Tamandua tetradactyla: one gene and its partners. The protein of the gene in region 1 interacts with the protein of each later gene in a pairwise test. Links are inferred from orthologs where the notes say so. Each region holds a gene or a part of one and is shown in the gene's direction. Other genes may lie near its edges.

The links.
Region 2: the proteins of GABARAPL1 (region 1) and OPRK1 interact in binary tests that used the Homo sapiens proteins (3 or more experiments, as listed by UniProt). The link is inferred for Tamandua tetradactyla from reciprocal best matches to the Homo sapiens genes GABARAPL1 and OPRK1.
Region 3: the proteins of GABARAPL1 (region 1) and SCYL3 interact in binary tests that used the Homo sapiens proteins (3 or more experiments, as listed by UniProt). The two-hybrid records come from large-scale screens. The link is inferred for Tamandua tetradactyla from reciprocal best matches to the Homo sapiens genes GABARAPL1 and SCYL3.
Region 4: the proteins of GABARAPL1 (region 1) and TAX1BP1 interact in binary tests that used the Homo sapiens proteins (3 or more experiments, as listed by UniProt). The link is inferred for Tamandua tetradactyla from reciprocal best matches to the Homo sapiens genes GABARAPL1 and TAX1BP1.

Annotation. Positions count from the first base shown.
Region 1 is NC_135333.1:72,652,242-72,660,020, forward strand, and holds the start of GABARAPL1 (gamma-aminobutyric acid receptor-associated protein-like 1), read left to right. Parts: upstream 1-4,776; 5' UTR 4,777-5,042; coding exon 5,043-5,132; intron 5,133-7,779. UniProt on the Homo sapiens protein: Ubiquitin-like modifier that increases cell-surface expression of kappa-type opioid receptor through facilitating anterograde intracellular trafficking of the receptor. Involved in formation of autophagosomal vacuoles.
Region 2 is NC_135332.1:96,695,557-96,703,060, reverse strand, and holds the start of OPRK1 (kappa-type opioid receptor), read left to right. Parts: upstream 1-4,494; coding exon 4,495-4,751; intron 4,752-7,504. UniProt on the Homo sapiens protein: G-protein coupled opioid receptor that functions as a receptor for endogenous alpha-neoendorphins and dynorphins, but has low affinity for beta-endorphins.
Region 3 is NC_135330.1:23,700,799-23,708,159, reverse strand, and holds the start of SCYL3 (protein-associating with the carboxyl-terminal domain of ezrin), read left to right. Parts: upstream 1-4,351; 5' UTR 4,352-4,511; exon of another isoform or gene 4,512-4,565; intron 4,566-4,607; exon of another isoform or gene 4,608-4,798; intron 4,799-7,361. UniProt on the Homo sapiens protein: May play a role in regulating cell adhesion/migration complexes in migrating cells.
Region 4 is NC_135327.1:95,382,541-95,390,249, reverse strand, and holds the start of TAX1BP1 (tax1-binding protein 1), read left to right. Parts: upstream 1-4,699; 5' UTR 4,700-4,850; intron 4,851-7,709.

The DNA of each region.
Region 1 (7,779 bases):
GCAGTCTGCCCTTGAGCAGACTGACTGGAAAACAATTTCAGTGATTTATGGATTGTCCAAGATGCACTGGGATTTCAACTGTGGAAAATATTTGACATTCTCTCTCTGAGTAACCTTGGCCAATATTCCCTTGGCTCCTTCACCTTGGTTAACCCAGAGTCGCACTATTTCCCACCTCAAAATTCTTTATAACTTTAATATTTTGGACACATTGTCATGAAAATGGTCAATGTTGGAATTGAACCCTAAAGGATGATGGACTTTTAAAAGCCAAAGACACAATAAAAGGGTATTCTTTCTATGAGTGAAGATAGGGAAAAAAGACAATGCGCCTCATGGAGAAGGGTAAAAATTCCAAGAGTGATATAATAGGAATGAACATGGAAATATAGGTTGGTGTATTTTTATGGAAGGGCTTATGTGTAAGATTAAGTAGTTTGGACTTTATCCTACATTCAATTAAAGCACTGCAAGTGTTTCAAGGGGGAAAGGAGATGATGTGATGTATCTTGAAAAATACCTTGGATATCACTAGATGAATAAAAGGAGAAAAAGACAGCAGACAGCGAGACCATTAGAGTTACTGAACCATCCCCTCTGACAACAATTCTATAATGTTTAGGATAAAAACCCAGTTCTAGGCAACATTACGAAATAAGGCAGACTAAATTTAAAGCATGTATTTCAGCATCTGTGTAGTCACCTTTCAACTGATTATGTTTTCCTCAGTAAATACCAAAGCAGATCAATTCAAAGAGGATGAAAGCTCATCAAGATTCAAATAATGGATGAGTAATCACAACCTTTTGAATGGCTACTATGCATCTGGTATATTACCTAATTTAATTCTGCAAACTCTGTTCCCCGAGCTTCAAGGAAGTAATATAACCTGCCCAGAGCTGAGTGACTGGGCTACGTTCTAAAGTCAATTTCCTCACCTCAAACACCAAACTGAAAAACCCTTTTATTTTTCAATTTAATTTTTTTCATTTTTTTATTAATTAAAAAATTAACAACAAACAAAACATTAAGATATCATTCCATTCTACAAATATAATCAATAATTCTTAATATCATCACATAGTTGCATATTCATCATTTCTTAGAACATTTGCATCAATTTAGAAAAAGAAATAAAAAGACAGAAAAAGAAATAAAATGGTAACAGAAAAAAAAGATTATACATACCATACCCCTTACCCCTCACTTTCATTTACCACTAGCATTTCAAACTAAATTTATTTTAACATTTGTTCCTTCTATTATTTATTTTTATTCCATATGTTCTACTCTTCTGCTGATATGCTAGATAAAAGGAACATCAGACACAAGGTTTTCACAATCACAGTCACATTGTGAAAGCTATATCATTGTTCAATCATCATCAAGAAACATGGCTACTGGAACCAGCTCTACATTTTCAGGCAGTTCCCTCCAGCCTCTCCACTACATCTTGAACAACAAGGTGGTATCTACTTAATGCGTAAGAATAACCTCCAGGATAACCTCTGGACTCTGCTTGGAATCTCTCAGCCATTGATACTTAGTCTCATTTCATTCTTCCCCCTTTTGGCCGAGAAGGTTCTCTCAATCCCTTGATGTTAATTCTCAGCTCATTCTAGGGTTTTTCTCAGTCAATTTAATTTTTATTCTTTTTAATCAAATGTGTGATTTTATAAAGTTAAGTAGCTCTATATGGCTTGTGAAGAAAAATAGCACTTTCTCACCACACACACATATTTTCTGCCCCCTACTTTTTAGCTGATTTATTTAATGGACACTTCTACAGATTCTATGCATATGTTTCAATTCTAGATTTTTATTTTCAGTTATTTGGGGCATAAACTATTGACATTCCATTGTTAAAAGTTGAGAATTCAGCCTTTTAATTTTTTTTTATCACCACCACCTCACCTTTGTTACCATCAAACTTCTGAGCATTTCTTGTTCCCCTTTTCCAGCTTCTAAATATAGTTACATCATAATTTTGATTATATTAGTATTATGGGAAGCAGGAAAGAGGGCACTAACAAGAGTTTGAAATAAGGCTTTATGGCTTAAAAGAATGGCTCTGCCCCATATTATCTTTCCAATCTTGATTTAGTCTGTGCCTCAATTTTCTCATCTGTAAAATGAGTACATCTATCTCATATTATTGAGGATTATGGGCGCTAACACATACGTATGTAAAGCATGTAGTATTTAATAAGTGGTAACCATTTTTATCTTGTTGATTACCTTGACCTATCTTCTGTTAAATCCTGTTTCATATACCTTGTGTCTTCTCCTTGTTTTTTTCCCTCATTTTGGACATGCTTACTGAAAATATGCACACAAGAAGTAAATTTTAGGAGAGCTTGCAAGGCTAAAAATGCATTATGCTACTCTCACACTTAAATGATAATATATCTTGGTATGAAATTCTAGGCTGGAATTCATTTTCCTTAGAATTCTGAAGGTATAGCAAGCTTTAACCCTGCTTTCTTTGCTCTATCTTGTCTTTATTTGGCCTTCTCAAATGTATTTCTGTGTTTCTGTTTCTTGTGTAACTAATTTTCTATTTGTGTCTGTCTGCCTGTTCATTGCATTATTTTATAACTTGAAATGTAAAAAAAAAGTAACAAAACTTTTTTTTTAAGAAAGCTCTACTGGAAATGCTTAAGAAATAAGTAGTTTTTAAACATATTTTATATAAATCAATACTCTTCTGAAGTAGAAAGAAAAAAACAGTAAATAAGGAGAAAAAATTCTCTGAACTGCAAAATTCAAAATCTTAGTTTTGTAATTACTATAAGCAAACCTGGCCATCTGAAAGAAACCGCCCTTGGAATTTCCCTAAGGCCCCAGAAAATTGCCAAAGGGCTGCCTCTAGGAAAAAAAGCAAAGACCTTTTCCAATTGTTCTGAAGCACCCCCTCCCCCCCCAAAAGGGAATATCTATGTAACCATTCAGTAGTCAAAATCATTCCTTAAATCCTAAATTTTTAATTACAGGGCTCCAATTCATTTTCCTTGTTTCTATGATAAAATTTAGTTTTGTTTGTTTTTTAAAATCAGAGACATTGGAACCCTGATAACAGAATATAGATGATAAAGCCATCAAAAGCAGTGAGTTCTCTGCCCCAAGCACTCAAATGACCAAGTCCTGAGTTTCAAAGAGAGGGTTTATTGCTAGGCAGGAAGCAGGAGATCAGATGGGCTGGGGGCCTAAAAACTTGGTCTCCCTGAGCTGCAGTAATTCTGATCGTTTTATAGTGTCAAATGATGAGCTGGTTTTAAGATAATGAGCACGTGACTGGAGATGATCTAGTTATAGAGCATGCACAGATTGCTTACATGCTTAGTCACAGAATTTATGTAAGAAAATGGCTGCCTTAATACGTTGATGGGTGTGATTTTTAGTATTCTGAGGTATAGGCTGCTTAGATTCAGCTCTATTTATCAAGACAGCCTTGGAATTGGGCGGGTTAGTTCCACTGATAAACATTAGGGGCTATCTTTAGTGATCATAAGGCTCTAAAGTTGAAACACAGGATAAGGGTGTATAAGGGAAGGTCAGTCACAAGGTTTTTAGTCATAAAATAAATCGTTATCAGAAATTAAGGCAATTGGATTACAGTTCAGAGATTTCAGGTATTTCCCTTTGTCTATTCTAATACACTAGCAAGTAAAAAGGAATATCTATATAATGATTCAGTAATCAGTCATGCTCTCACCTTAACTTCTTCCTTACACTGCCGTTGTAAATAACTTTAAAAATATAACTCATTAGACTCTTTCAGAGAAAAGCATACTTTCCTCACTCCTTATCTTTTGCAAGTACCACCGCCTTCCTCCACCCCCCCACCGGTGCGACGGATCCCAGGAATAGCCGCCTTCACTAGCAGGTGGAAAAGTCTTAGGCCTTTGGTTCTCCCTCTGGAGACGCCACTCGCATCTGCCTCACAGCCCAGTCTTCCACCATCCTTCCTCCTGTCTCATCCTATTCCCCTGAAACACAAATAACCCGTACTATCCTTTAAATGAATTTTCGCAGAAGGAAAAAAGAAATGTTCGAGAGCCACTAAACGAATAATTTAAATTGGCTGAAATTTTCTTTTCTTGAAGCCGGGCCCAATTCTGGGTTGTAAGAGAAAGTGCATCACTTTTGTATTGGGGCATGCGTGCAGCCCTTAGTAGTTATTGCCGGCATCACCTCTTCCCTGGATTTAGGTTGTACTTCATGCCCTTCATCTTACACATCTCAAATTCCTGAGTCACGCTCTGTTTCTGTCGCCACTCTAGGAGCAAGTTGTGGCATTCATCCAATCAAAACTGAAGCGAACCTGAGGGAGGAGAGGCCCTGGTGGGAGGAAGCCAACCTAGCACGCAGGCAGGTCCAATTAAATGGGCAAAGGGCAAAAGGCAAACCCGGGACACATCTGCACTGGCCAATGGGATGCCAGGCCCTCCCTCCCTCTTTTTCCTGACTCCAGCTCGCTGGAAAAGGCTGGATTTTAGCCCTTTCTATTCGTTTTGGGGCCCTACCAAGAGGCAGCGGGGGGAAGGGAAGAAGTCATCTTTAGAACACACTTTTCGTTTCGTCTTAAAACGACGGTCAGTATGAGAGTCACAATAAAACAATAAGAAAAACTGTCTTAGCTACGCTATGTAATCCAGATAGGAAAAATTTAGATGGAAAAAAATACACTAAAACAGACAATTCTTATGTCCACCCCTATTCCTGGAGGTCCGGGACGCTGGGGCGGGGTGAGAGGCGGGACTTCGTGACGTCGCAATACCGACGCGCCGCAGAGTTGTTTTGCGTCCCGTGCCCTTCGGGAAAGCCGCCGGGATTTCTGTTCTGGCGGTCCCCTAGCTCCAGGCGAAGGGAGCATAGATCCCTTCCGATCGCTCTGCCAAGTGTTGCGGCGGGAGCTGGCGTCTCCGAAGCGATCCTGATTTATAGTGAAATTTGGCACAGGGAAACGATTCTCGAGAGACGCGACCATCAGCCAGGGAGGCAGGGCCCGAGCGGGGATCTCAGAAACCCTGCGGTCCATCATGAAGTTCCAGTATAAGGAGGACCATCCCTTCGAGTATCGGAAAAAGGAAGGCGAAAAGATCCGGAAGAAATATCCGGACAGGGTCCCAGTGAGTGTCATGGGAGCGGGGGGGAGGGGACTGGGAAGCTCCCGGGGCGAGCGTGGCTGTGGTGAAGCGTCGCTGCCCCAGGCCGAGGAGGGAGACGCGAGGTCCCTGTAAATCACTAACCCTCGACGCCGTTCGCTGGTCTCGGAGCCAGTGGACACTCAGACTGCCGACCTTTTAAAACCTATATCCCCAGGGCCCGTTTCCATCTTTACAGCTGATCGCATCTTTGGAGCCGAGCCTACGTCTCGAGTGACTCAGCATTATTCAGATACGAAGGCCGACATGTGCACAAAATATGGTCCTGTATGCGAGAGTGATTAGGTTGGGGCCCTTGATTTCCAGCCTTTAGAAGCGCAGGGATATTGTTACGGGAGCAGCGAAGTTGGCTTTAACCTTCGTTTTATCCGGCTTGGGAAGGAAAGAATGGGAAGCCAGTGGATTCTTTCTTGTGTTTTATCATTAGGAAAGGGGGCGGTAAGGGGAGCGCACCACCAGGCGGACGTGGCGGGGAAAACAAGGTCACGTTCTCTGCGCAGCAGCCCTCTTGCTTCATTATTCTTGGCTCCAGGGGCTTGTGTGGGGAAAGGCCAGCCTTCCCTCCGCTACTTAATTCTGATCAGACTGTACCTGGACACAACAAAGCGGGACCGAAGCCTCTTTTTCTCTGTTGCGGAACCTGGCATGTGGAGTTAAAAGTAATGCGATCGGTGAGGAGGAAGAGAAATACTAAGGCATCCCTCAGCATCCGGGTGTTTTTCCCGTTTCCCCCCTCCCCCGCCCACTTGCCTGTTTTTTTTTTCTCGAATACAGGCTGCGCAGCCGGAATGGAAGGAGGAAGAAGAGTGGTAGATTTTGGAGATGGAGGAGCAGCGACCTTAAGGTTGTGCTCTTTACCTGCCACCTTCAGGCAGGGACAGTGGGAGACGTTTTACATGTAATGTATAAGTAAAGGAATTGCAATTATCTGATGTCCTTTCTTGACCTGCATGTTCTCCTTAAACCTAGTCTACAGTCCTAACCTCAATTTCATTGTTTTACAGTTACCAGAGGTGAGTTGGGCCTTAGCTAGCCCAACAGTAGAAACCCCTGGTAGTCCTTTTCCTATCAGGAAGAGGCGCCCTTAAGGCCTTTCCATTCCCAGAAATTGGGTGCTACTGAGTAATAACTCAGGAAAGAGTCCTTCACAAATCACTTTCCTGCTGTCTGGACCTTGGGGGGACTGTTTTAAAAGCTTCTCCTAATTCTAATCTCCGTCTTTGATAGAAGTATTAAAAAATGACAGTTCACCTTTATTGATGGCTTATCTCTTACCCGGCTGTCTTCTAAGTGCTCTCTATATTCAGTTAGTCCTCACAGTGGTATAACCACCATTCTACAGATCAATCAGAGAAATGAAGTAACTTAGGAAGCTTGCAAATTGCTGGTCTGTTACTGGTCAGGATTCCATTCCAATTGTTTCTCAATTTCTAATACAGTTCTGTTAACTAGAATTAAGTGCACACTGTGTGTCTCACATTGTACCTTCCAGAGCTCACAAGGTAGTATGGTGCTGGTAAAGTAAGCCGGTAAACAGAATGCCAATTTTTCAGGGGTCACTAAATACGAGGCTCTATGCCAATAGTTTTGCCTAAGTTACAAACTCTAAAATGTACCTTTTCCTAAAGCTAGTTAAAATCCCCCTATAATTTTTCAAAATTAAGCCCTCCCCATTTCAATCATCTACCCCTCATGTTTCATATGATCACCTGTTCTTATTCTGTAAATGTTTTACTTTGTGATAATAAATAAGTCACCATGGACCTGGCTCAGCTCTCTGGCTTCTTCTAGTTATGTTTTAACCGGTGCCAGACCTCTACCGCTTGTTACCGGTTCAGTGGATGGCCCTCTTTCCTGCAGTTGTGACGCAGGGAGAAGAGCTATATGCTTTCTTAATACTGTGATTTGGGTTGTAGTTCTGGCTTTACAGGAATTCCCTGTATTCTCAGTCAACACCCTAAATCTCACTGTGCTCAAGTGACCCTATTTATGGGAAAGTAGGGTTCCAGTAAATGATTTCTAAAGCCCTTCCCAGCTGGACCATAGGTGTTACTCGAGTAATCTCATTCCCTGGCTGCTCGCATAACCTGGATTTAGACCCGGTCACTATCTTTTTATAGCTACCATTGAGAAGAATAGGTGTGCTTATACCTTGGAAGGAAGGAGCTCATGGGATCTTGAAATTGCCTTTATAGCTACAGTGTATTGCAAACCTGTGACAACAGGAAACTAAGAGCCTGCAGAATGTGTCTTTTTTTAATTTGTTAACAACCCAATGGAATATTAGCTATCTTTAATAGATGAGGCTAAAGAAGCAAAGCTTCTAAGCCTGAGGGTCCACTGTAAGTGAGAAATAAGTTGGGATTCCTGCAAACCTAAACTCTTTTACTCTAAATCAAGGCCTTAATGATTTCCTGCCCTGCCTTTGCAGGCTGCTCTATTTTTTTGCCTTCCTTCCTTTGTGGTCACCTCTTATTGATAGGAGCTCAAGAGTTTGGGGGAGACACAATACCAGTCTCGCTGTCCCCCTTTGATTTTATTAACTCTGCTGTCTTATGTCCATCTCATTTGTTGGCCTTTCACTGATCTCTCCATGAAGCTGTTCCTACTT
Region 2 (7,504 bases), on another chromosome or scaffold:
CTGGCTCTTCCTCCTCCCTGAGTTCCAAATTCTTTCAAACCACAAGTCTTGCAGACTTAATTTCCTAAATGATTCTTGAAACTATCATCTCCTCCCCATCTTCTCAGCAAGTGCCTTGTTTGGGGTTGAATCACTTCTCACTTTGATAATCCTGGCTCCCTCTTCTTCTGAGGCCCAAATCCAAAATCTTCAGCATATTTGACAAGGCCCAGTGTGGGACCATCTGTTTTTCTATCTTCTGTTGTGCTTCCCTTGATTCCCAGGCTCCGGGCCCTTGGCCTCCTTTCAGTTCCACAAATGTTCCTGATGTCTTCCCACCCATGTCCTTCACATAGGTGGTTGTCATGGTTGGGTTCATGTGTCAACTTGGTCAAGTGGTGGTACCTGTTGGTCTGGTTGGGCAAGTGTCAGCCTGTCTGTTGTGATGAGGACACTTCATAGAATTAAATCATGATCAGGTCAGCTACCTCCACAGCTGATGCCATTTGTAATCAGCCAAAGGGGCTTGTCTTCTGCAATGAATGATGCTTAATCTGATCACTGGGAGCCTTTTAAGGAGGATTCAGAAGAGACAGGCTCTTCCTGTTTTGGCTGGTAAGCCTCTCCTGTGGAGTTCATCCAGACCCTCCATTGGAATCGTTGGCTTCACAGCCTGCCCTGCGGATTTTGGACTCTGCGTTCCTGCAGTCATGTGAGACACTTTTATAAATTTATATTTGAGTGTTCCCTGTTGATTCTTTTTCTCTAGAGAACCCTAACTAATACAGTAGTCTTCTGTGTAGAATGGCCCCTTTCTTTCTCTTCGCCCCATAACCATCACACAATCTCTCCAGCTTCAGTGTACCTTGTGCCTTCATACTGAGTAAGGGTCTCTGCTTCAGGGCCCCAACAAAGATGGGCAGGTTGTACACTGCCTAAGTGGTCAGTGTCTGACAGGATGTCCTTATGCCAAACCCAAGGCAGGCTTGACTATTTATTATGACAGCTTTCTCACAGAGAGGAATGAAGCTTCTTGAAAAAGGGGAGCTGTTTTACTAAATACTTGCCCTTTCCTACATGGTACTTACCAGAGTTGAATGTATTTAATTGTTAATTGATTAATTATATCATTTTTTAAAATGTAAGTTTGGTCTCTCACACCAGATTGGACATCCCACTTAGGAAGGGGTTTCATCTGTCTTGTATATTGTTGAAACCTCAAGGCCTGCCTTTGAATCTGCAACTTGGGACCCTCGAAAATATCTGATGACTAAGATGACCTGGTTTAGTAAGGCTTGTGCTGCCTAAGTGAGTTGATCACAGTTTGCAGGTGGCTTATCTAGTCTGCATAAGAGAAATGCCAAAGGCTTTGACATCACCTCCCTCCCCACAACAATGCTTCTTAGAAATAACCAAAATACATTTTAGCTTTGAGGTGATTTACTTATATCTATAAGCACAGTGCTTGCCATTGAGGAGGATATATGCTTCATATCAGTGTATGCCTAGTAGATAATGTTCTAGCAGTCTATTTTTTCTTCCTATTTTGTACACTTTTATCCAATATTATAATAAAATCTCATATTCCCAGGAACCTGGCTGCACACAAGCAGCTGTCCTTTGTGTGTAAAAAGACTGGCCCAGTTCCCCTGGAAATCAGCATTTGGCAGGCTTCTCACTGCTTTGCCCACTTCTGCTTCACTTTATTTCAGCCATTATATTTTTAAAACCAAAACAAAACTAGGGTGTGCTCTAATGAAACAAAATGACTTTTATCATACTCACTATTGCTTTACCTTCAAAAGACTGTCTCAACTAATTCAGAATGATAAAAATCAAAACATCATATTATAGTTTTAAAATCCCAGTCTGCATTTGGCATCCTGCTTTATAGTTAGAGAAGTATTTTCTCAATAAAAGCCCTTTGTATTTACATTCCTGTGAAAGGGAAGCTGAGAGTTTGCACTGTATGACTTCTATCAATTTGGAAATTTCTTTAAAGTTTTCACCTCCTTAAATTTTACCTAATTCTTTTTAAGCCATTTCCTTTCCTTTCTTCTTTTCTGTTCTTGCTAAATAATCCCCATCCTATAGTTGCTTTGTCTTTGGGGGGAGAGCCCCTCTGTATTTGTCCCCTGACTTAAATTAATTCAGTTCAATTGGCATATGACAGGAGCCAGAAACAGTGTGTTTGAGTCCAGATGAATGTTTCCCAGCTGTGTGAAGCACCTGTATTCTAAATAAAAACCCAACCAATGTGATAAATGCAAAAGGTGGATGGAGAAAATAGACACATTCTAAAAAGTCTTCAGTGCATGAAATCATAGATGAATAGATAGAGAAATGGATAATTCTGGACTCTGACATACTATTCATACAGCCCAACAATTCATTTATATTCCCCTTTTATTTTCCTCTCTGACTCAGATATTATTCAATTTTTGTAAACTTCAGGCAAACATTGTGCGCTGGGTTGGCTGGTAGTATGTGGTCATGGTGATAGGTAATGAGCCTCCAGACATGCAGAGAAGACTGAATTTGCCATCTTGGTAGAGTGGGAACCTACAGATGCCAGAGGCCCCAGCAGTCCCATGTTCTGCTAAAGCACAATGTCACCTTCTAATGAAAGTTTGCAATCAGACTTAAAAGAAAGTAACCAAGAAGAGATAATACTAACTTGTAAAACTTTTTAGGTGTTCAGAGTTAAAGGGGTACTGTTCTGCAAAGGGAAGCTTTCCTTTTGCTCCTCAAATTCCACTGCTCAGAAGTGCAGCGTATTTTTAGGGTTGTGGGAAGACTCTCCTTTGGGATTTCAGTATCCTGAAAGAGGTAGGAGCCATATTTTGCCAGTCAGTGGGTTGGTCAGCTTTACCAGGCATCATGGTGGCATGTACATGAGCTGGTGGGGAGAAGTGGAGCACCAGTGTTTGTCCAGAAGCACGTTGTAAACTAGGGTTCCTAACCCTTGGTCTCCTGCCTCCTACCTCCAAAACCTAAATGAAGACAGGGAAATTATTTAAAACATCTGAACTCTTTCGTTCAGAATCTACACTCTGATGGCTGAGCCCTGGCTCCTCAGTTCGGCTCTTTCTGCCTCTTACCCACAGGTATGCTGGGAGTACCTGTCACACCACAGGGGCCTCAGCTCCTTCAGCTTACCTTTGGTTTTTCTACCTCAGGCCCTTGCCACGCTGGTCCCTTTGCCCTGAGGGCCTCTTGCACCCAGCAGAACCGGACAACCATCCTTGGACTCGCAGAACTTTGGAAAGAAATGGCCGCGACTAAACTTCTCTACCGGGCTTCAGATTCTTGTGGAAAGATAAAGAAGAGCCTGTGGTGATGTATGGAGAAGGGAGAACATGACAGCCGCAGGGAATTAATTTAAGAGGAGTCAGTGTTACCTACTGGCACCGGGTTAGGAACCTGTTCTACTCTTCCTAGGGTACGACCACCTGCAGTCTGCAGCCCCCGGTCGTCCAGGCAGGCAGAGGAAAAGGAGAGGCACAGCATGCACAGAAAGAGTCTATTTAGGTGTCTTAAATCACCAATATTTTCTGAGCCGGTCTTATTCCAACAGGATCATTTTGCCTGCTTTATTTGGATAGGGCATTCAAATAAAGCCAGGGCTTTCCCTGGTACCCCAGAGCAATGGAGTCCTGAGACCTACGGCTACACTAAATTCTAGCCACACTAGTAATAATGCAAACACATACTACTAAATAGAAAATGCCCGCGCCGATCTTACGCTGCGCGGAAAGCTGCTGGACCACCCGCAAGCGACCCCGAGCGGCGCAGGACGCTGCGGACCCCGGCTGCAGTGGGCGGGGCGGCCCCGGGGGCGTGCCGGGCGAGTTCCCCGCCCGCTGCCCGGCGCCGCGGCCCAGCTTCCGTCGCGCGCCCGCCCAGAGCCACCACCAGTCCCGCCGCCAGTCCCGCGAGGCGCGCGCGGAGTTCGGAGGCCGTACTGAGTGCTTCTGAGTCCTCCGGCCAGAGTGTGGACCCGGCTTGGGGCTGAAAGCCGGCAGGAGCAGCAGCTGCGCGGCGACCTCGAGGACCCAGCGGTCCCGGGGCGTGTCCGGAGCGCGCGGCTCGGGACTGGACGGGGCGCCTCCCTGGACTACCCCGCGCGGCGCTGGGAAGCCAGAGGTGAGCGCCGGACCTTGGAGGCACAGCCCTGGAAGCGCGGGCTCTGGGTTCATGGGGACTCAAGGATGCCCTGTCCGTTAAGGGCTCGGGCTGGCAGTCTGGGGTAGTATGCTACCGGGGGACCGTGTTTAAGGGGGGTGGCGGCATTTCGGGAGCTGGGGTGAAGGAGCGAGCGCTCTCCCGTTTGGTGGCCGGGAGGGCGGCTGGAGGCCGGTCTTCCTTGTCTGGTCATAGGGGCTGAGCGTCCCGGGTCTCCATCCGTAGGCTCTAGCTGGCCCGGGAGCGGAGAAAGTTTGCCCAGCCCGAACTCCCGCTCTCCCCAGTCCCGCAGGGTCCGCCCTCCTCGCCCTCTAGTCGCAGCCGCCACCCATGGAGTCTCCGGTGCAGATCTTCCGCGGGGTCCCGGGCCCCTCCTGCGCCCCGAGCGCCTGCCTGCTCCCCAACAGCAGCAGCTGGTTTCCCGGCTGGGCCGAGCCAGAAGGCAACGGAAGCGCCGGCGCCGAAGACGCGCCGCCGGAGCCCGCGCACATCTCCCCGGCCATCCCGGTCATCATCACCGCCGTCTACTCCGTGGTGTTCGTCGTGGGTTTGGTGGGCAACTCGCTGGTCATGTTCGTGATCATCCGGTGAGCTCGGGGTCCCGGCGCGGTGGGGGCCGGCCCGGGCGCGGAGGGCTGTGGGGCAGCCCGCCAGGTAGTAAGGGCTCCTCCAGGTGCAGGGTTCCCGGGCCATTCCAAGAGGGTGGCCTCTTAGAAGAGGTGAACGATTTCCTTGGGGAGATTTTCGGTGGGTGGCTTCAAAGTTCGCACAGAGGAAACCGAGCAGCCAGAGGCGTCTGGTGGGGGGTGGGGAGTCTCTGGAGGCCCATGGCCTCGCCGAAAAACTCGGAATGGGCAGGGAAAGGTACCAGGTGTGAGGCATCAAGGTGAATTTTAGGGTCTCTTGAAAATGATACAAATTCATTTGCATGGACTTTTGCCTGGTTGCCTGTGCCATTTTGGCATACTTTCTTTCTTTTTCTTTTTCTTTTTTTTGCCCTTTGCAAATATTTCATAAGATAAATTTCAGGCCCACTGAATGCACCGAAAGCAGGTTAGAATTTCCTGTGACTCATCAAATTGATGTAAAGGCTTATGAACCCTACTGTTTAGGGTTGTTGATTCTGATTAGTACTGAAATGCCGTCTTGTTTGTTTAGAATACCAGTGACTTTTATAACTAAGCCATTGCATGCTTTTTCTCTTAAAATATTGACTGTGGAGGTTTACAAAAATTTCTTGGATTTTATTTTTTTACCCCATGAGAAATTGAAGCTTGCGTTGTTCTTTTGTGGAATTTTATTGCTGCCAGGTTCCAATAATGAATCTCTCTAGATGTATCCACATACATGATAATTTTCTGCTTACTAAGGTTCTGATTTTAGACACTATCAAAAAAAAAAAAAAGTAAAGGGAAGAATTCTTAATTTTGGTGAGGCATATGTATGTCAATTTTGGGAGATATAATGCTTTAGAAATGCACCCAATGAGAATGAAGAAGCTGCTTTGAGAAGTTCCTGTGAAATAAGGAAAAGATGTCCCTGTTTAGGGCACTGAGAGGATGAAGAGCTTATTTTCTTAGTCTGACTCTAATTTTAAAACAGCCCGTTGATTTATTGTGAAATTTAAGAGCTGTTCCTGCAGAAGCATCAATCTTTCTCCTGGGAAATCATCATCACAAAAATACCCATTTATCTTTTTTCTTTTTAATTGGAAATATCAGTTTGTCCCCCCTCTATGTTCTGAAATTTAAAACCATAATTTTAGCCTTCAAGTGCACATTTTAAAAGCTCGTTTTCACCTACAATTAGTGTTTGTAGCTTGGTATTCTTGGTTTTCATAATTATCACATATTACAAGAATTTGGTCAGTGGTAAGTGAAGGCTGCAGAAGGGGGAACATTTAAAGAGCAAATCATTTGTCCAAGTTAATATTAATCTCAGGGTTGATCTTCATTAGAGAGATTATAGAAAACCAGAAGACAATGAAAGATATCCATAATTACAGTTATTATAATATCTTTGGTACAGAGGCCTTGTAAAACAAAAAGTGTTACACAAAAGAGGATGCTGGGAAGAAAACAACTCTCTTCACCCTCGTCTCATATTTGGGTGCTTGTTTTTGGGTGAACATCAGAAGTCTTAAGTTCGTGAATAGTTCTTAGTTGCTCTACAACTTTTTATATGGCCTTGCAGACTAATGGAAGTAAGAATTTTCAAATATATTTGGGAGACATACATGTGAGGGGAAAAGGACTCACATGTATATGTGGACTTTTCCTTTTACCATAGGACTTTTTATGGTAAATAGAGATACATATATGCGCATATATGTACATAAATCCAAATATATCCAGAATCATATTTTGCTAGATGAGACTAAGTTCAGCTAAAACTACAAAATAAGTTAGATAAAATAATGGTCATAAGAATATCCTCCATCTTCCTATCCCACTCATGTATTTAGAGATTAAGTTTGATAACAAATGTAAGGAAAGAGTTATACATTATCCTGGAATACCAACCTACTGAGATGGCAGTTCATTTAAACCCATAGCTAAAAAGGTTAGGTTGTAGTTGGAATGCATTAGGATTGATAGATGGTTAATAAATTGAAACATAAAATTTCAAAAAAGATGTTGAAGGATTTGCATTTATTTAGCTCTGGAGAAGAAAGAACTGGAGATTCAAGGGAAAATAGGGTGGGGAGGGCTGTGGTATGGCCATCAAAACTGAGAGGAGAGTGAGGGGCATGGGATTCGAACTCAGCTTCATTGAGGGCTGGGTAGCATTTTCTGAGAAGCTAGGGGATCATTTTAGAGAAAGATTCTATCTTAAAATGCTATACATGAGAAAGGGTCTTAGCTTAGTTCAGTTTTCTAGAAAATCATTTTATAAGGTGAAGGTCTGGGATGCCAGAACAGATCTGGGGAGAAAGAAAGAGCTGTGGGAAAAGCTGGTACTGTTTTTAAGTCTGCCTTTCAAATGGATCTTCCTGTTTCACATGATTGGAAGGCTACTGGGTGTGTCCTGGAGAGATTTAAGGGTTCAAGGGTTCTCATCATTTAAGGTGGACCAACTGTCATAATTCTCTAATAATATAGGGGCACATGGATGTTTCACTGTGAACATTTTAAGATTTTAACTACTCCAGCCACTTCTATTTCCAGGCTTTGATTTTTATGGCCCCTGGGTGAGAAACTCTTCTTAGCCCTTGAGTCAAGTCCTTGACTTCTTTTACCATCTTTGGTATACCCATGGGTGTATTCCACTAAGGACCCCAATCTCACAGTTTTGAAGTCCATCGTGTGTCATTTCCACTCCACACCAAACCCATACTCAC
Region 3 (7,361 bases), on another chromosome or scaffold:
AAACTATTGAAGTAGTATATTAAATGGAAATGCCATAATTCTTACTATCCTTATTGGTTTTTAGGAAGAGCTTGTGAAATTTTAGTTCAAGTTGGGTGATTAATGTTTTTGAAGTATCAGGAGTGCTGGGCCTCCAAGATGCTCACAGCTCATCTGGGAGCCTAAGTGAGAAACATGAATGAAATTAACCAAAAGACAATCTAAAAATTAAACTAAATATAATATATTTGGCACATTGTGATTTGAGTTAGGAAGAGCACTGATAAAAGGTAAAATTCAAGTTGGTTCTTAAATTATCACAGGGAAAAATTATTTGTAATAGAAAAAAAACTATTTGTTTATAATTGACTGGCCATATACAAAGGAGAGTGCATCCAGATTGCTGGAGACTTTTCTTTCCTGGCCATGGGCATATGTGAAATGAGTAGTGTGGGATTAGTGGAGAATGCAAGACTGCTCTGCAAAAGAAAGAAGAAGGCATAAAGAGCTCAGAAAGAAGCTCCAGGGGTCTCAGAACCAGAACCAGAGAGATATAAAGGTGCGTAGATTAAAAATTAGGAGGGCGAGACATTTAGGACAATGTGAGGCAAAGAGGCAAAGGAGAAGCCTGGCTCAAATACCAGCCTCCCAATAAATGGATTCATTAAAATATATTTACTGAGTTGCCACTGTGTTCCAGAGCCCTACACCACTGATGCCGGCCAGGCCTGGAAATTCTAGGAGAAACTGAGAGCTCAACCAAGGGCTGGCGCCATGAGGATTCTGGACTCAGTCACAGGAAAAAATTCAAAGACTAGTGGGTACATCTAGATAGTTTAATAAGCTTGATGCAAAAGAACCCTGGGAGTTCGCGGCCAGATGCAGGAGAGCTCCAGGAATTCTAGAAGTCAAGACCTCGACCAGGGGTTGACGCTGTGAAGGTTCTTAACTCATACACAAAATACCCTGCAGCGGCAGTTGTTAAACATTTATCAGCATATCACTGAATAATGGGCAAAGAATCTTGCACAGAGAGAAAGTAATCTCTAAAGATTATTTATTCATATACTGTGCTCTAATTGTTTTCCTCAGTGTTGATGATGAAGCTGAAGGACACAACATTTATGACCTCATGAATCCACGGCTCTTAAATTTATATCTCCTGACTAAACTCTCCATTCAGCTTCAAACTTTTATATCCATCAACTGACCTGATAGTTGCGCATTGATGTGGAACAAACCTGTATGGTTTATACCAAGCACCCCATTGTGGAAGCCAAACAACAAAGCAGCAAACTTGATTCCTCACTTCATTTCTTATTAACAAATCCCACTGATTCTATTACCAAAATATGTTTCTGTCCACCTAACTCCACCTCTACTCCTTCTTTCCTAGTCCATGTCATTATTACCTTCTGCATAAACTAATGCAAAAGTCTCTTAACTGGTCTGCCTGTTGCCATTCTCACTTCTTTATTATCAATTCTCCATATAATAGCTAGTGTGATTTTTTTTGAACTGTAAGCCAGGTATTACTCTCTTGTTTAAAATATTAAATACTACCGAATGCTTTCTCGTGGCCTCCTCAAAAACCACTCTCTCCTTCATTTAGTGTACTCCAGCCACACCAGCCTTCTTGTTATTCCTTAAACATACCTTTGCAGTTGTTCTCCGTGTCAAGAATGCTTTGTCCATAGATCTTCATTTACCTGACCCCACCTTGTCATTCAGTTTTCAGATCAAGAATCACCTTTTCTGAGAGGTCCTACTTGGAGGTCCTATTTGGTCCTATTTAGAATTCTATTCTAAAGTAGAATTACCTTTCCCTCCCCTGTTTTCTTCCCTCCCATCCTGTTGCTATCGCAGCAGTGTGATAGTAAGGCATAGCGATCAAGAACATGGAATCTGTAGGTAAATTTCTCTCTATCATTACCAGCTGTGTGACTGTGGTACCCCTTACCTAACCTCTCTGCAATTCAGTTTTCTCATCAGTAAAACAGAGTTGCCATATGGCTTAAATGAATTAGCACACACGAAGTATCTGACACATAATAAGTGCTCAATAAGTGTTAGCTGCTATTATTATTACTAAATTACCCTGTTTTGTTTTCCATAGCATTTACCATTATCTGAATTTATCTTTGTCCAATTATATGCTTATTATCTATCTCTTCCCTTAGCTCCCAACTGAGATGTGAGAGCAGGGAACTGTCTTTTTTGTTCACCAGTGTGTTACCCCAATGTCTGTTCCCAAGAGCAGAAGCTAGCACATAGTTTTTAACTGTCAAAGAAGCGTGAGGAGAATCAGGAAGGTGTAGAGACATTTAGCTCATATCCAGCACCATGCACATTAGCTTAGAACTTCTATGTCGGTGGTGTGGCAGGGCACTTTGCAAAACCAAAATAAAATGCCTCGGGATAAACTACTCAAACATCCCCAATCACTTAAAAAAAAAATTAAGTCATATTTGCACCCCTCTAAGAACCCCATTTTCTGCATGATTGTGTCTTCTCCCTTTCTTTTCTTATGCGGTAGCACAGTGCCTGACACAAAAAGTGTATGCATTAAATATCTGTGGAATAAACACAGATTCCAACATCAAGCTGCAAGAGAAATGTGTATGGTGTTTGCAAAGTAGGCCAGTATTCCTTACAACATCCATATGGGTGTCATCATGCTTGTGACTGACTTCAAATTACTTCCTTATCAACAGCGTAATATTCAGTGTGGTTTAATTGATTGAAGCTATGCCCTACGAGCAACCTGCATTCCAGTAGTCGGGAATCTACACTCCAGGGGACGTTAGCGCGCATCATACCGGAAAGGCTACATTCTGGAAGTGGGTCTACAAATACTTCAACCAACTTGACCTCTGATGACACCAAATGTTTTTCTATATATCATGGTAAACGTAGGAAATGGGTTTTTACTGGTTAAAATAGCAGCTTCTTAATTATCATGATAAAAGTTAGGAATGGGGTCTCAATGAAAAGTAATGTGGATTCACTAAAATAGTCTATAGAATGGTCTCCATTCTTGAATAAACAAGGTCTAAGAATTTTTTCCACTAGGGATTCCATCCAAGGCCTCATCTCCAAATGGACTTAGCTGTAACACTAGTCTAGAGGATTTCTGGTTGCTGGATGTTGATGCTGGCTATGATGGTGCTAGGATGTTGTCTCTACAGCACTCTACCTCTGCTTCTGAACTTTCTAATGGAGGTGGTGGTCAGACCACCTAGAACTGAACTCTTCAATATGTTAGTTACTAATCATACCTGATCACTGAGCATTAAAATGTGGCTAGTCCAAATTGTAAAAATATATGTTGCATTTTGAAGACAGTACCAAAAAAGTATTTAAAATATCTCATCAATGATTTTTTATATTAATTGCATGTTTAAATTATAATCTTTTGGATATATTGTTTAATATATACTATTAAAATTAACTTCTTTTTACTGTTCACCTCTTTCTTTTTATTATTTTTAGTGCAGCTACTAGAAAATGTGAAACTACACATAGGGCCCACATTTTATTTCTATAGGATGGAGAACTCGGTTAAATTAACTATCATGACTATCTTCTAATAAATATTCGTTTAATACATTTCTGATTAAGAGGCAAATTTGGGCTGAAATTTGTTTTCATTTAATCTACTGAAGAAATTATCTAGCTGAAACTTACCCAGCAACGTTATCCACCAGAAAGGATCTAAAAGTTGTGCATGAACAATTGATTTAGGCCAATTGTCAACTCTAAGGCGGTAGTAGCATTATGTAGTAGTAATGACGACTACAAAGATCGTGAAAAAATAGCGATCATATATTGAGTGGTTACTGTGTACTGTTTTTAAACCATTACGTATATTCACTTAATTCTCAATAGTATTAAGTACTATGAATATTCCCAATTTCACTTTTTGCTGAATTAAGAGTGATTTGACGCTCTAAGTTTCAGCCGGAATCCCCACGATCTCTGTCAGTTACAGCTGTATCTGCCCACGCAGCGCGGCCAATCATCGCCAATTTCCTTATTTCTATTTTTTTTCCCCTCTCCGTTCCGCCCCTTTGCTATTTGTAAAAGGAGGCTGGTAGCCATATTTGTTTAGGGCGGAAATAAAATTAAAACGGCGCGGTTATCCCTAAAAATAAAAAATCAAGACTTATTTGTGCAGTCACCTGAAGGCCTAGAGAGCAGAAATCTTCACAGACCAACTAGGCTGTCGGAGGAAGTGCACAAACCAGGGTCGGCACCGGCGCCCGTACTCAAGATGGCACCTGTCTAAGAATCACCTTTGCGGCCGCTCTATCTCGGTTCCGGGTTCGTTCGCCTCCGTGCTGGTGTCGGGGGTGTGAGGGTTGGCCATCTGTCCCGCTTCCGGGCCCATCTCTATGGTGTCGGAGGCAACAGACTCCAGCAGATTGTACTTGTAGTGGCCACAGCCTCACGGGGGAGGCGAGGGTGGTTGGTGTCAACAGGGGGACCGGAGCCAAGACCCTCCGCCGCCTGCCCCCGCCACCCTCCCGCAGGTAACTGGTTGCCCTGCGCTGCGTTCTCCGACTCGGCAGCGGGGAGGAGAGCCGGGGCAGGGGGAGCAGGCGGGCGGCGCGCGCCCGGCTCGCGGAACCCGGCGCGGGGGTGAGCTCGGCGCGGCGCCGGCTGCCGGTTGCGCTCTGCTCTCCTCCGCCTCCGCGCACCCTTCCGCCTGCTTTATTTCGGGGGCGCCCTTCTAAACTAGGCTTTGCCGGGTGCGGCGCTGATGCCGGAACTATCGGAGGAAAGTGCGGAAACCGGGCCTCGCCTGGAGGTGTGGAAGGTGAGGGGCCAACGTAGCGAGAGCGCCCTCCCCGCCCTTCAGCGGTCCGGGGCGTCGCGGTTGGACCCCCGCACCCCGCCCACGGGCCGCCTGTCCGGCTCCCGGCCCTGGTTTGCTCGGCAGGGCTAGACACTGCCTTGGGGGCAACATTGGCCCCTGCCGTGGGGAGCCTAGGGTCGCGCCGCCCCTGGGAAGGCGTCTTCAACCCGGGAGGCTTCGTTGGTGACCCTAACCCGTGCCATTTGCCACCTCCTGTACCCCCCACTCAGGCCGGCTGTTCTTGACTTTGCGTAATGCATTTTATTTAGAATAAAGTTGAAATACATTTCTCGGAAGGGCATATTTAGGAAATCGTATGAATACTGAGAGTCGGGGCCTGCGTTTTTGAGTAACTGTTGCTAAAAGACTCCTGTGCATATCCACATAAAATCTCATCTCTTAGCAGAGATCGAACTTAATTCTCTTGAAACGTAAAGGCCTCGTTATGTATTACTTGTCAACTAGCAATACTAGACTGAATTCAATACAGAGACTGTACATTTGAAACAGACCAAAGTATAGGGCCCGGAGTATAGTAAGTAACCCATTACCAGATAAAGTATCAGTCAATACAAAGTGTTCCTAGAACCCCCAGTACAAGCCATTATCTTTGGAACTTCCAGATAATTGCTGGGGGGAAAAAAACAGGTATTTCCTCTAGAGAAAAGGGGTTTTTTAGTTGAGCATACGAGTTATCCAACTACCTAGACAAGGACTTTTAGAATGCACAAGTGGTCAGGAAACTATTTGTTCCCCAAGGAAGCAAAAGGATGGAGGAAGATAGGTGAACAAAATGTTTAAGGCAAGACTGATGCACATTAGAATTGAAGACTGCCAGCTCAGTATTTTATTACAGAGAGTGGAGGTGATAAATTCTGCAAATACCTATGGTGTGGTATTAGAATATCCTTTTCTACATTTGACTCTTACTCTAAAACTAACAAGATTTCATTTCCTCCCTCACTTCTCAAAGCAAAAAGAAAATTTTGTAAGCTCAAGTGTTTATGTCTTACATTTCAGCAAGTTCATTTTAAGTGAGTTTTTTTAAAGCACTGTTTATGTCAACAATGTTTACAGCTCTTTAGATACAGCGTTTTTAGAATTATTGCAGTCATCTCATTTTTTCAATTTGCAATCATCAGCACATCTTTTTATTTTCCCCTGATAAGGGAAAACCTGCAGAAAACATAGAATGTAACCCTTCTACTCTGTCAGTGTGGCACTCATGTTATTAGTGGACTTGTATCACCGCTAACCATACTTTCAAAACAATAAAACGATTATTTTCTCTCAAGTCCTCTTAAGACACCATGTATCCTGTTTTAATTTTTAAATGCTACTTATTAGGGTCTCCAACATGAAGTACACTGTGCAGAAAAATTACAATTTTAACCTCTTCCTAAAGCTTTCACAACCCTATATTTTGAAAATGTTTTTTATTGTGAAACAAGTACAAAGAAAAGAAAGAAAAGCAATAATTTTCAAAGTACACTTTAACAAGTAGTTATGAAACAGAGTTCAGGATTTGTTATGGGTTACCATTTCACTATTTCAGGTTTTTCCTTCTAGCTGCTCCAAAACACTGGAGGCCAAAAGAAATACTGGTATTCTGATTCAGCATGCTCATTTATTAAATCCTATTTTCTGTTATGACTTCTCTTTTTTTCTTTTCTTCTTTTTCATGGGCAGGCACTGGGAATCGAACCCCGGTCTCTGGCATGGCAGGCGAAAATTCTGCCCCTGAGCCACCATTGCACTGTGCCCTCCTCTTTTAAGCCTTCTACCAGTCTATAGAGATGTTTAGGCAATGCCCATGCTGACTTTTTCATGTTGAGAAGGGGTATCAACACTAAAGGATAGGAGCATGTAATTAGTTGATGATCTTGCAGAGGCTGGGCCCTCTGGGTTTCAGGATTTATCTGGCCTAGGAACCCTTTGGGAATTATAGGTTCCAGGAAAGCAAACATAGTGCAGGATACTTTTATAAGAGTCTCACTTTGAGCCCTACGTGTTTTTAAGTATAAACAGAAGTGATGTCAGTTGGGGTTTAGCAAACAATGGCAGTTGCACTCTAACTGAAGCTTGTATAAGAGCAGCCTCCAGTGTAGCCTCTTGACTCTATCTGATCTCTCTTAGCCACTGATGCCTTATTTTATTACACTACTTTTCCCCCTTTTGGTCAGGAAGGCATTGTTGATTCCATGGTCCCAGGGCCAGACTCATCCCTGCATAACCCTGTCTTAATTATCTTGTAGTGGAATTCATAATATTAAATCAAAGGTTAGTAGATGTAAGGCATACTGTTCCACAAGGAAGTATTTTGCTATTTAGAAATGACTAAGTAAATTAAATGCCCATTGTTACAGCCTCTACGGGTGCCGTTCATCAAGACCGAGTACCACCCTGAGTCCTGGTAACCGCCTTATCTCCTTTGGGAACCAACGCAAATTATAACTAAATAACACGGTTTTCTGCCAAGAGGATTCTCATTTACTTGCAGTTCCTTATTCTCAGATTTTCCCTT
Region 4 (7,709 bases), on another chromosome or scaffold:
TCAGTTGCCACTGGGCGTTTCCTGTAAGGGGTAGCTGCAGGCAGGTTGTCTGTGTAGGACACTGGTCCTCCTGATCTTGATTTACCATCATTGCTTGAGGGCTCCATGCAGGGTTTTCCCCCTCCCTTCTCTCTCACCTTAATCTTTTTTTTTTTTTAAAGATTAGAAATTTTATTTTTTACTAAAATAAATAAGATTATTAAATTTTAAGGTGAGACAGTTCTCACCTTAATCTTTTTTTTTTTTTTAAAGATTAGAAATTTTATTAAAGCAGAAAAGCATCCTACACAAATGGGAAAAGAAAAAGAAGCTGAAACACACAGGTAGGCTATATTTTATATCATTAATAAAACACTTTCTGAAATTGTTACAATTAAGTTGTGATATTAGAGTGGTCTTTAGGAATAAAGAGCTCATTGTTTTTTTAAAACCATTTTTATTGTAAAATATAACATATATACACAGCAAAGAAAGAAAAAATTATTTTCAAGGCACACTTCAACAAGTAGTTACTGAACAAATCCCAGAGTTTGTCATGGGCTACCATTCCCTCATCTCAGATTTTTCCTTTTAGCTACTTTAGACACTGGAAGCTAGAAGGAATATTAATATAGTGATTCAGCAGTCATACTCATTTGTTAAATCCTATTCTCTTCGCTATACCTCCTCCTTCTCCTTTGGTCCTTCTCCCAATCTATACGAATCTTTGGGCAATACGTATTCTGACTTTTTCATCCTGAAATGATGGTGGGGGGTGGGGAGCGGCACACTAAAGGATATTGCCTCTTAATCTTAAGGGTTGCTGAAGGATGAGGGTCTGTCTTCTATAGCTGCTCTGACTTTTCATGGGGTGTAGGCCCTGCCTGATAGGCATAAAACTTTCTACTTCATTTAAGTTGAGAGGGAAGGTATCCAGAGGGGAAGTTGGAACAGCTGAAAATCTTCTCATCAGCATTAGTTTGGTGTAGGATGCTTGATTTTGAAGGTGGAACAGTTATGGTCCAAGGTACAAACAGGAATATAGGTATCTGGAGTGGAGTGGAGATCACTGAAGACAAGGGATTCAAGAAATAAAAAGGCCAGGGTGTTGGAACGTTCATCCTGAAGGGCCTGGAATGAAGAATAAGACTGTTCATAAGGTGATAGTCTTCCATAAATGAGGACAAGTGCTGTGGAGATCAGCAGATGATAGCAACAAGAAGGGAAAAGGTGAATAAAACTGAATCGTGTTAATCAAAGAAGCAACCTTCTACCAGCATCTGGGAGAGTAGTGGCTAATAAACTATAAGGAACAAGGAGTACATCCATACCCTCTCCTAACACACGAGTAAGAGAAAATAAATAACCTTGTTTATAGTGACTTCTCTATCAAAAGCCTACCATTATTCAAATCCCATCCTTAAAAGTGCTTTTTCCCTAGGGTGGTGCAACAGTGGCTCAGTGGCAAAATTCTTGCCTGCTATGCTGGAGACCCGGGTTTGATTTCCAGAGCCTGCCCATGGCAAAAGAAAAAAAAAAAAAAAAGGTGCTTTTTTCTAAATATGTTTTACTTTAAAAGGAAAGAATCATTTGTAGCAAAAGGAATCTTTAATACAAACTCAAAGGGAAACCTCTGATCTAAAAAATGAAAACAACTCATTTTACTTGGCTTTTAAAACCTATAATATTTCTATAACAGGCCCATTGGAATTAGTTTCTAATTTTTAACCCATGCTGTACCACTTATTTGCCTCATTTGTGCCCTTCTAATAACATTATCCACCCTCCCACTACCCAGCAAGCCTTTTCTCCACCTTTTCAAATTCTGTTAATATTTCAAAGTTTAGAGTCCAGTCTTTTTTAAATTGTCAGTAATTCCCAAATAATTCTGCATCAATCTTTCTACTTTACTTCTTGCAGTCCATTTCCTATACATTTAACACTTAATGACATCATCTTGTATTATCAGAGAGGTATCTGGTAGCTTTGAGTAAGAAACCATGCTTTATTTTTTGTTTTCCTCAAGCACCTAGCACAAGTTGAGACCACACAGTGTGATTTTTTTGGAGGTTTTATGGACCCCAGAAAAGATCATGTTCTTAAAGCGACTCTGTTTCTGTGGGTATAGAACTATTGTGGTTGGGACCTTTGATTAGGTTATTTCAGTTGAGGTATGCCCCACGTGGGTCTTAATTAATAGTCTTAGTGGAGCCCCTTATAAAAGCATGAAAGAGGAAAGAGAGAGAGAGCTGAGAGAGAAAAACACACGAAAGCTGAGAAACAAAGCCACAGACAGAGAAGTCAGAAGCTTAAAGAAAAGAAACCCAGAAGAGAAATGAGAGACCAGCAGAACTGCCATGTGCCTTACATGCTGGCCGAGATGCTGAGAATTGCCAGTAGCCTGTCGTCAGAGTCCAGGTATCATCCTGATGATGCCTTGATTGGGACATTTTCATGGTCTTAGAACTGTAAATTTCGAAGTTAATGAATCCCCATTGTAAAACCAACTCATTTCTAGTAGAGCGCATTTTGGCAACTTTAGCAAACCAAACAGAAAGTAAATGACCAAAAAAGCACTCATCAAGAAGCATCAGAGCATAGTAGGAAATGCATGAACTTTGGAGTCACAAAAATGAGTTCCAGTCTGGGTAACCCATTCTGTGATCACTGGCAAGTTATATAACCTTTCTGAGCTCCACTCCACTGCAATGCTAATGCCTACCTTTCAGGGCTGCTGCAAGGAATGGAGACGATATAAGTCAAATTTCAAGCACAGTGCTTGGAAAGCACTATATGTTTCATAAATGGGAATTATTATTTTTTGTTAACTCTCCTCTAACTCCTATGCCCATCATAATTGGGAAGTCTTCCTCCTCCTATCACCTCATCAAATCCCTGCCTAACTTTAACAGTGTAGGCCTGCTTCCTCTATGAAAAGTACACTGCTCACACAAGCTTGTAATGATTCTCCTACCTCTGAAGCATTTTATTTCTACTTTAGTCACCTAGGTTTTCATGGATTAATTTCTTTTCTTCCCTTTACTATCATGAGTTCCTATAAGAGAGGAACTGTTCCTATAGATATGGTCAGCTATTTTCCTAATCAAAACACACAATAGGTAGTTTGAAACAGGTCAGGACAACAGGCTAGAAACTACTTGAAACTGTAATTACTCCAGAAAAATTGATTGATACCTTTTCCAATAATTTTTTTAACAGGTCGACAATTCTTATTCACAATTTTGAAATCCAAAAAGCTCTGAAAATCAAATGTTTCTTCACTAGACAAAATTTGCTGTGGCCTGAACTCATTTGTCAAGAAAACTTGATCTAATTTGAATACATGGTGGTAAAGTTGTAAAACCTGATCTGAACAACTGGAACTGAAGGCAGACTATTTACAGTCTTAATTTATCCTTAGTTGATACTTACAATTTTCACAGAAAAATCATTAATTTGATTATGAGGTGTTGCCTCTAGACCCTGTAGGAGTGTCACATAATGCGAAATATACCTTTCTAAAGCCTGAAAAATTCTGAATTACACCTGGCCCAAGACTTTCACATAAGAATTGTGGCCCCATGTCTCTTATAGTCACTAGCACACTGCCCTACTTGTTAACAGGCTAATTAAAAAAATTCACCTAAATATTGTGAGGCTATGTATTTATTTTGATGGGAGAAACATGGTCTAAAAATTCAAGGACTTGTTATTAAAAGGAATAAAGCAAAGTAAAGTAGCTAAACAAATACTTCATGGGGAAAACAAGGTCTAAAATTGTTTAGACATTATTATTAAAAACAACAAAACAAAACAAAAATTCCTTCACAAAAGTGTTGTTTTGAATTGTGGTTTTTATTAAGTATATTGGTTTCTGGTTTCATGAACTGAAAATGGGTAATAGAAAATTTATTACATGCAAATACATAATGTGTATGTTTTCTATTTAGCAGATGCTTCAACGTTTAATGCGGTCTAATTTGTCATCCTCTCTTCGTTGGTGATACTGTACACTGTTTCAGTGTTTATGGAAATAAATACAGGAATATGATGAGTACCGACAGGCACACTTGCTTCCGCGGAGTTAGGATTCAATCTGAGTGCCTACTATAGGAAGGGAAGATAAAAGTTTAAAAAGCGATTAAAGGACATCATATAAGGCAATTATAATTTAACAAAACATAGGAAAAAATTCGCACACAAAATAATACAGATAACAAAAACAGTTTACTACAGAAATGTGGGCGTTAAGAGGCCAGTGGAGCTAGAGAAATAGCTCCTCGGAGAAAGGGAGCGCTTAACAAAACTTGGTAGTTCAAGAAACAGGAGCAGGGGTTGAGGGAGAGCCACAGGGGTTATAGCCCTAGATGTGCGGTCGCTCTCTTCACCTCTGTCATTCTCTCTCTCCTTATCTATAAGTGAATTAGTTTAGACAGAGTTTTAAGATCCAGGCAATAACTCACATACCTCTGGGTAACCCTTTATTTCGCTAACTTAATTTTCCAGTATGTTTCCCCACTTCGCATATTAAAACACTAATTAAAAAAAACCCGCAAATGCTAAAAACGGAGCCTGATTTTCTGAAGTGAACCTCTGAACGAAAGTTGTAAAACCGAGAACCGAGGCCGAGCAGCCCTGCAGGCTGAAACAGCTGGCTCCGCTTCGAAGCATGGCGGCCGGACGTACCGCGCAGCAGCGGAAGGAACGGCCTCGTGGGCGGAAGTGATGTCACGCCGGCTCTGGGCTTTGAGGAGAAGTGTTGTTAGTCTGTAGAGGGAGGTGTTGTTGGCGGAAGAGGTTCGGCCCCTGATGGCGTCTCTGGCTCGGAAGCTTCTGTAACTTTCCTCCTCTGCCCGGGAGTCCCTCAGTAGGTAAGCCCTTCTCCGTCCGCTCCAGCGACTTTTGCGGGGGCAGACTCCAGCTGGAACCCCTTTGGGACTCGCGATACGCCCCTCAGCCCCTGCAGGCTAGGGGCCTGGCAGCTTTCAGGGAACTGGTTCTCTGTGATGACGATGCTTTTCTTCCCGGGAACAAACATTTTTCTGTTGGACTGTGATTGTGACGGGGTGTGTGAGCGATTTCGATTAGCAGTGGAGTTGGAAAAGCGTTGAGTGGCCGCCCTCCACGGCGGGGGAGGCCAGCGTACAGGCCTTGGGACTTGGGACGTGGGCCCTTTGGTCGGGACAAGTGACTTGTGCGGCTCTTGGAGAAAAAAATATGCTGTCCAAGGATCAACTCTAGGATGACGCTGTGTTGAGGGCTTGTGTGTGCTACCGGTATCGGTAAGCTTGGGATAACATCTAAGTCAGGTCTGGGATGGACGCCGCCTTTGATTCGGCAGAGACTCGCGAATTTGTTTTTAGTCACCCGTGGATCAGGAGGCGGAGACTCCCCCTGTACCGCCCACGCGGTAGGGCCGCGGGCGGGGTTAGCTGTTCGGTCCGGATCTACTTCACCTGGACTACAGAATTTCGAAATCTGCTTATGAATTCCCCCACCCCTCATCTCCCAGTACTCGAAGAGATAAATAAATAAAAAAAAAGTCTTTAGAGGACAGTCACATCTTCCTTTGACTAGTCAAAGTTTTCTTTGTTTTCACAACTCTCCTTCCTTCCCCCGCGGGTGGTGAACAAGTCCCGACCGTGTCTTAAGAGTTCCGGAGCTATGCTTTCTCGAGTCCACTGTTAGAGCTTAGCTGGTATGTGGGTGTTTGTCTACATCACCCTGTTAATAAATTATATTACACCCTTTTGGTCTAAAGGTGGGCTGCTTGCCCTCAAAGCCCTTTTCGGCTATAGAGAAGGGGTTGAGGCCAGACTTGCTTTCGATGTTTTTATCTGAACTTGTAGACTGATTTCTTGAAGGATTACTTAATTACACTAAATTTGACTTAAGGTTTTTTTTTTCCCAATGTGGTTCTCAGATGTCAAAGAACATCCTATTCTAGACATCACAGTTGTGTAGAGTTATCCAGTAAATACTCTCCCCGTAACAAAAGTAACAGGTATTTTGAAACTCTTTAAGTTCGGTCTTTTAAATAATGTTAAATAGTTTTGAGGATCCTAACAGTGCTCCTTCATTACCTGTTTGGGGGAATTACTCAGATGTGGAGTGTATTAGATTGTATTCTTTTGGAATTTGGATATTACTAAGTAAAACTTGGGATTTATGCACTTTTTGCTCATTAAAGCTTATTTTGGGCCAAATCTTTAGTAAAAAATAGAAAGTCCCTCCTCTCAAGTATATGTGGGGCATTCGTAGCATTTTAGAAACTAACTTTAAAAAAAATTTTTAAAAGTAAATATAACTGGTGTTCGGGACACATGGGCAGAGTGTAATGACACTCAGCTGTAAAGGATTCTGGAAATGGGGAATCTGCAGGAATGCGGTTTGGCAGATGGAGTAGTGAGCTATAAACCAGTTGATACTCTGTATGCATTCAAATATTGAAATATTATCAAAGTGTCAGACATTTCCCACCTTTTTAGATGTTTTTGTGTCCTGTAGAACTGAAATTTTGACGTAATTTTAAAGGTTCATAATTTCCAAACCCGAGATTCTCAAAGCTTTCGCTAATTTTGTCAATGACTACCTGAATCACAGTGCTTCTGAGGACACACAGAAAAAACACATACAGAAGGAGAGCTAAAAATAATATAGATTAACATTTTGCTAGTCTTGTTCTGTTACCCCCTCCAACCATTTATTTTCCCCTCTCCTGGAGTTTGTAAAGCAAATCCCACTCATAAGGACAGTTCTCTTATAATTAGTTTAGCATCTCTAATTGGTGAGGATTTGATATATCAAATTACCACAATCTCGTTATCAGACCTAACAAAATTACCTTACTGCTTCTTTAGTCCTAATTGTTGGGACTGAAATTATAGAAAATATTTATTTAAGTTAAAAAACTTAATTTGACTTTATATGTTTAATGCACAGAGGTTCTCAAGTCTGTTTTCAACATTAGTTGACTAAGGCTTGCATGTTTTGGTTAGTCAGGTAAAATAATTATCAGAAACCACAGTGAGGGGGAACAAAACCTGCCACAAAAGCCAGATCTATTTTGGGCTTGAAATATTTGAAAGAGAAGCAAGTAAAACAACCTTGAAATGTTACCCGTGACTCCAAAATTTATTTTAGAGACTACTGCATATTACTTTTTTTTAAGGATTGATGAGTTCTCAGAATAACAAAATTTAATTTTAGACTAAAGACTTTTATAATACCTAGTTTGTGGCCTAACACAGCTGAAGGAATTCTAGAGGTGTTAGGACTTGAGGAAATATAGTAAGTCCTGGACGAGGACACTGTAGCCGCATATATATATATGCATTTCAGATTTTATTTCCCAGCCAAATGTATCTGTTCCTTTAATTCTTAACTGGATTTTTTTTCTTTTTACTTATCTGTGGCTTGCCGCTGTAATCTACTCATGTGTCTGAAGAGGTACTTTACAGAATAGGAAGCAAAATTTGGTATGCTCTATTTCCTTTGTAGATAGGAGCTATATTTCCTTTTTCAAACTGAGGTGCAGCTCGCATTTTTTTCTCAGGATGCTGGGGATGCTACACTTCCCAAGGATTACCACAAGGTGATGCATAGACTTTGCACATTACTTCTTCACTGGTTCTGGATGTGCGTGTTGATGTGTATAGTGTAGTGTATAAATCTACCTGGGGCTCATCATCTTTTTTTTGCATGGGCAAGCATTGGGAAACGAACCCAGG